2 linked regions of the Mus musculus genome follow. The protein of the gene in region 1 purifies or fractionates together with the protein of each later gene. This does not show direct contact. Links are inferred from orthologs where the notes say so. Each region holds a gene or a part of one and is shown in the gene's direction. Other genes may lie near its edges.

Evidence for each region.
Region 2: the proteins of Ubn1 (region 1) and Asf1a purify together in Homo sapiens (affinity purification with mass spectrometry; 6 studies listed by BioGRID and IntAct, counting the BioPlex papers as one, with this or other methods). This does not show direct contact. The link is inferred for Mus musculus from reciprocal best matches to the Homo sapiens genes UBN1 and ASF1A.

The regions. Positions count from the first base shown.
Region 1 is NC_000082.6:5,059,799-5,063,627, forward strand, and holds part of Ubn1 (ubinuclein-1), read left to right. Parts: intron 1-976; exon of another isoform or gene 977-1,084; intron 1,085-2,183; coding exon 2,184-2,270; intron 2,271-2,736; coding exon 2,737-2,832; intron 2,833-3,141; coding exon 3,142-3,276; intron 3,277-3,829. UniProt on the Homo sapiens protein: Acts as a novel regulator of senescence. Involved in the formation of senescence-associated heterochromatin foci (SAHF), which represses expression of proliferation-promoting genes. Binds to proliferation-promoting genes.
Region 2 is NC_000076.6:53,606,929-53,610,022, forward strand, and holds the end of Asf1a (histone chaperone ASF1A), read left to right. Parts: intron 1-204; exon of another isoform or gene 205-736; coding exon 737-949; 3' UTR 950-2,054; coding exon of another isoform or gene 2,055-2,086; 3' UTR 2,087-2,297; downstream 2,298-3,094. UniProt on the Homo sapiens protein: Histone chaperone that facilitates histone deposition and histone exchange and removal during nucleosome assembly and disassembly.

The DNA.
Region 1 (3,829 bases):
GGTTGGAAATCAAGCAATACTATATAGTATGGACTGGCTTTCGACTTTCTTGTGTGTGTGCATTGGTGTTTTGATTCCTTATATATTTGGGTAAGAGTGTCAGATCTTGGAGTTACAGACAGTTGTGAACTGCCATGTGGGTGCCAGGAATTGAACCCCTATTTTCTGGAAGAACAAACGTTCAGTGCTGTTAACTTCTGGGCCATCTCCCCAGCCCTAGAGGATTATTCTTTTGCTTCTGTTTTCCAAGTGCTGAAATAACAGGAATGTACCTTCATACTTGGCTTAGAGACATTTATTTTGAAGCAAGCATCTATTTTTCAGTATTTTATGTGCACTCTGAAGTCTTAGCATATAGATTATAATCACTATTAATATTAAAATTCCTTGCCCAAGAACATGGAAAATTTACTTGATTAAAAAAATGTAGGAGTTGGGGGCTGAAGAGATGACTCAGTGGTTAAGAGACTGACTGCTCTTCCAGAGGTCCTGAGTTCAAATCCCAGCAACCACATGGTGGCTCACAACCATCTGTACTGGGATCTGATACCCTCTTCTGGTGTGTCTGAAGACAGCTGCAGTGTACTCTTATAAATAAAATAAATTAAAAAAAACACATGAGTAAACTTATAGAATAAAAGCAAACTTTAGAAGATTACATGAAAGTATTTAGAATGATTATTGAGGTTGGCAAACAAAAGAGTCATGACAGTAGACCCTTGAAGGTATGTTTCCAAGGGTAAGGATTCTGTGAATCAGTGTTTGACTTGAGAAGCACTAATAAATAAATAAATAAATAAATAAATAATATATTTTATGTATTTTGGTTCCTCTTTCCTTTTCATGAATGCTTGTGCTTGCTAAGCAAGCATTCTACCAGTAGGCTAAGTTCTTAAACTCCTCAAACCATTTTTCTAAAGCCAGAATGGTTGTCAAAAACTTGTACTACATTTTGTGGGATTTTAAACTTTTTTCTTTAAATATGTATTGTTTCATGAATTCGAATGTCATCTTTGCAACAGGAGCCTTGCTGGTCTTCTCTGTATCATTCCAGTTTTAATAGGTATGCTGCCAAAAAGAGCACAGCTTTTAATTTAAAAAACTTTGTTTATTTATTTAATGTGTGTGTTTATTTGGCTTGCGTATGTGTCTATGTACCACATGCATACAGTATTATCAGGCCAGAAGAAGGTCTTAGATTTCCTGCGACTGGAGTTGGGCATGGCTATGAGCTACCATGTGGATGCTGGGAATTGAATCCAAGTCCTTTAAAGAGAAGTTGGTATTCTTATGCTCTGAGCTATCATTTTTAACCTTTTTGAACCTTGACTATTCTAGAAGCATCTTGGAGCCTATTGACCTTTCTTAAAATGTTTTTTTTTTTTTTTTTTTTTTTAGATTTATTTATTCATTTGTATGAGTAACTATAGCTGTCTTCAGACACACCAGAAGAGGGCATTGGATTCCATTTCAGATGGTTGTGAACCACCATGTGGTTGCTGGGAATTGAACTCAGACCTCCGGAAGAGCAGTCAGTGCTCTTAACCACTGAGCCATCTCACCAGCCCTTGTCAGTGCTCTTAACCACTGAGCCATCTCTCTAGCGCCCCCTCCCCTCCTTTTTTTCTTTCTTTCTTTGTTTTGTTTTTCGAGACAGGGTTTCTGTATAGCCTTGGCTGTCCTGGAACTTACTTTGTAGACCAGGCTGGCCTCAAACTCAGAAATCCGCCTACCTCTGCCTCCCGAGTGCTGGGATTAAAGGCGTGCACCACCACGCTCAGCTTCCTTTTATCTTTTTTTTTTTTTTTTAAGATTTATTTATTATTATACATAAGTACACTGTATGTCAGACATCCCAGAAGAGGCCATCAGATCTCATTACGGGTGGTTGTGAGCCACCATGTGGCTGCTCTGTAACAAAATAGGTCCTCTAAGGCCTTATTTACGCCTTTAACTCACACACTGCCTTGGCCTCTCTAGTAGCTAGGATTACAATAAATTGATACACTTAGTGAAAATCTGTTTTTTCCACAGTAAAAAATGGTATTTTATCTTGCTATTTCTGAATAATAGTTTTTATTACATAGTTTAGAAGTGTTGGGTAATCATGGAAGGTTATTTAACCAAGACTATGGCTTTTTGTATGTATGTGTTTTATTTTTTGTGAAATGATCTCTTTCCAGAAAAAAGATGTCTTGGATCCTTTCAATGATGAAGAAAAAGAAAGGCATAAGGTGGAGGCCCTTGCACGGAAATTTGAAGAAAAATATGTAAGATTTCTCTGTTGGGCAAGACAACAGCCTCATCAGTGAGAATAGTCTCCAAGCATTTCATGATCATTTAGTGGATAGTCAAAAGTGACCTGGAAATAGATGTAGTATTCAGAGGAAACAGAATGCAGCTATTAAACCAATGTATTAAGGTACAGAACTCTTATGTGGCAGGGCAGTGTGTGAGTTAAAGGCGTAAATAAGGCCTTAGAGGACCTATTTTGTTACAGAGCAGAAGAATCTGTTTTGTTCTTCTTTCTTAGGCCATTTATGCAGATTAAATCTGCTCTATTTCAAGTTTTAGGGGCGGGATTGGACTATGTATGTGTGTGAGAGAAAGAAGAGAGACAGAGACAGGTTGGGGGGTAGTATGTGTTTTCATTACTTTACAACTTAATCACTAGCCCAAAGCAACATTTAATTGTACTTACCAAAAAGCATGTGACTCCTTCCTTTTAAATTTCAGGGTGGAAAGAAACGTAGGAAAGACCGAATACAGGACTTGATTGATATGGGGTATGGCTATGATGAATCGGATTCTTTCATCGATAACTCTGAGGCGGTGAGTACTTAGTGGAATGATATTGTATGATACTGACAGTGGGGAAGTGGGGTTGTGGTATCTCAGTGTGTCCTCTTTGCACAAGCAGCATTGAGCTTAAGAGGAAGAGACCTCCTAAACCCAGAATTTTTTTTTTTATTTGAAAACCTCTTTCCAAAACATCTAGTAGCTTGCACATTAGTGATTGAAGAGAGGAGGTCTTAGCATCGTGTCTGAAGAGTGACAGGCAATCCCAGTTGCATCTCTTAAATTGTGCACCTTGGACCATAGAAGCAGAAGTGGGAGCTGATGATATGTTTCCCCCTTTAGTATGATGAACTTGTTCCTGCTTCTTTGACTACAAAGTATGGAGGATTTTACATCAACTCAGGAACCTTGCAGTTTAGACAAGCTTCAGAATCTGAAGATGACTTCATTAAAGAAAAGAAGAAAAAATCTCCGAAGGTTAGGATATTCTTTCTTTTGGACTTTAGAAATATATTTTGATGTGACTCTGTGAAATTAGTAGGTTACTCTAGAATATGTAGTCTCTTAGGATGCCTCAGGAGATTGGTGGACAGGTACAGGATGTGAACATGGGGATGCTGGTCAGGCCTTAGTCATTTCATCCATGTCTAAAGATGGTCCAGCAGGGTCATGTTTCCAGATAAGTCTTAGGGAGTGCTATGAACCCACTCCTCCTGACTTTTCCACTGTGGACTTGGAGAGGACTTTAATTCTGGGGCTGTCACCCACTGCATACTGGTCAGCCTTAGTTTGAGTATATTTCAGGGCCTGCCTACCACTGGCCATTACTTAAAATGAGCGAGTTCACCTACAACCAATTCTAGAACAGCCACCATGGTCTTCACTTGGATTCTTGCAGGAAACACTGTTGTTGGAATGTTGTGGGTTCTTGACCCAGGGACTGCTTTGAGAGACAGCTTTTTGTTCATGAAGGAAATGAGATGGGTCTGAAGATATACACTACACAGAGCAAGTCTAGTGTACTTGCTCT
Region 2 (3,094 bases), on another chromosome or scaffold:
TTTAGATTTTCCACTGGGAATGGTTAAGAGGTTTAGTTACTGGTGACTAACTAAAGTACTCTATCTGCTAGGCCTTACCATAGACTAGAGTTAGTTCTCCTTTCTGCAGGTGAGGGTGGGATGCTTTTCATAGTCTGAAGATCTGTTGATCCAGGATTACTCTTTGTAGAACCTTTGTATGGCAGTAAAAGAGACTAGAACATATTACTGTTTCGGAAACTGAGATTTAATATATTACTGCTAAGATCCCAATAATTAGGGGTTTTGTTTGGGGAAAATTGTTCATTTGAAGTCTGGTTATTGTATTTTATTTCTTAGTGCTTAGCATTGAACCTAGGGACTTTTCCAGAGTATGGCCAAGGCAGTGAGCGATATTCCCAACCTGAAAATACACCAGGCTAAAGACACACTTATTTAACTACCTCTAACAGGGATACGAAAGGACCTTTCCCTCCCGTATGTATTCTTTAGGTAGCAGAAGTATAAGAGCAGGTACTTTGTTGGGGGGTGAAATATGTTCCCCACCCCTCACTTCCCTTTACCTTGTTTCTGAAGGCTAATAGTTCTTTAGCCCTTTGCTATTGTGGTCCTTACTTATTAGTTATGTGTAAGTGCTTCACTTGTTGATGCCTTTGCATATGAATTTAGTCTTCTAGAAAGATAAAGAGAACCACCCAGTTTGCACAGGGTAATCTAACTCCCTTAGTGCTTACCACTTAAATGTTTCTCTTTCTAGCTTCAAAGGAATATTTTGGCATCTAATCCCAGAGTCACAAGATTCCACATTAACTGGGAAGATAATACAGAAAAACTGGAAGATGCAGAGAGCAGTAACCCAAATCTACAGTCCCTTCTTTCAACAGATGCATTACCGTCAGCGTCAAAGGGATGGTCCACGTCAGAAAACTCACTCAATGTTATGTTAGAATCCCACATGGACTGCATGTGACCACGTGCCATCCCATTAGTACAGATTAAGCTATTAAAAACAGAACTATTTCCCTGAAGTTCCGTAAGTACATAGTCAACGTGAAATGTGAAGAATTTGTTTAAAAACATCCTGTAGAAAGTTTATAAGAAAAACCAGTATTTGAGCAAATTGTGGATTATAAATACAACTATTTTTAAGTACTTTTTTCTCTAATGTGTTATTTTATTTGTTCATGAAACTAATCTGATTAAAGCATATATATTATTTTCTTCTCTTTTATATGTAATTAAAGCACTTATATCAAATTATTAGACCAGGTTGTAAAGGTGTTGTTTTAGCCTCTTGGACAATAAGATTTACTAGCTTTTAAAAAAACAAAGTTTACTTCAACTAAAATGATTTATTCCTGTGAAGATAGTGTCCTTTTAATTTGAGGAGAAAACTTCCATTCTGTAGTAAAAAAGATCACATTAAAATGGGATTTGAAGTCAATTATATGCCACCAGGGTTTTTCTAGGCCACCCCAGTGCATCTTACCACAACTTGTGTTACACCAGACTTCTAGTTTTTATATAACAAATGCAGCTGCCTTTGAAGTCCCTCTGACTATGGTGTATGCTTCCTTACATCTAAAACTGGGAAACCACGACCATAAATCATTGTCCAGAGATTTCAACATGGCAAGAGCAAATACAAGTTCTCTAAAGTGTAAGATTACATTAAAATGGTTCAGATCTGCTCTTTCTTTCAGTTTACAGAAATGCCGAACTTACAAGGGTAATTTAGAAAGGCCTGGTTAGCTTTATTCTGGCTAGCTACTTTACGAAGCATGTCTTACCATTTGCAGTTGTATTACCCCATATCCTCTGGCTCTCATTAACGTGTAAGATCAGGGTATTTTCTGTAGTTGACATAATCTACATAACTTTTCCAGACTTCTTTTTTTCTTTCTGAAGAGCAGTTTTAGAAAGGATAAATGGGCCAAAAGTGTATTTTCTTTAATGAGAAGTAAATACTTCCTCAAAGTTCTGATCCATTACATTTACAGTACAGTATTTTCATTTGATTATGGTGATGATGCACAGGAGAGCCATGGGATGCAGGTTATGCGGTGCCTTCACATCTAAGCTTTTATACTGCACTTTTCAAAACAGTCTGAGGAAAAGGAAAGGGCATTTGTCTAAACAGACTCTTTTAAGTTGTATATATTTCTTGCTATTTTAAAAGGTAAATTTGTGCAACCAAGTCTTGTTAAATGTTAAACTTTGAAATTTAAGACTCCAGGTTATTACAGTATTGACCATTACCCAGTTCATAGATTTTAAAAATAAAACCTGACTACTAAAACGATTTGAAAAAAAAAAAATCTCATTTTGTCTAACTACAATTAGGAGAAAATGTTAAAACAAGAGTCCAGTGATCAAAACAGTAAGAATCAGTTTGTTAGAAATAAAACTAAATCTTCAAGTTAAGTGATTCACTGGAGTATTAAGTCTGATTATAAAAACTACTTTGTAATGAGATTATGTGGTTAAGGTTTTATATCAATTTTTAAATATATGGCCCATTGTCACAAAAGTTTGAGACATAAAAACTACTAGTTTTTATTATTTAAAAGTTACTGCTCTATAGAATTTAGTAAAAGAATAATAGAAACATTTAAACATTAACAACTAAGAAACTAGCATGCAGTGATTTTAGGCATTATGTCTGAATTATAGTTACAAGGAAGACTGCCCTCCACCCCATTTCTTATTTTTGAGATATGATCTCTCAACATAGCCTTGGCTGTCCTGACCTCTCCATGTAGACCAGGCTAGCCTTCAGCTCACAGAGATCCACCTGCTTCTGTCTCCTGAGTGCTGACATTAAAGGCGTTCTACTCCATACTCAGTGCTATTTCCTCTTTTTGATCAGTGTAAATGAATGTGTGGTGAATACATAACACACACAGCACACACACTCCATTCGCGCAGCTGAAGAGCTAGGTTATGATGGCATTGTTTGAGTTGAGGAAACGTTTCAGAATCTGAGGAGAAGCATGCATACAGTTGTTCATTCACAACCTGGTCTGACCCTTCATTTCTGTTACTGCTTTACCAAGAAAGTCTATGCGGACTGTCAACGTGGCTCAGTGGGTAAAGGTGCTTGCTGCCAAGCCTA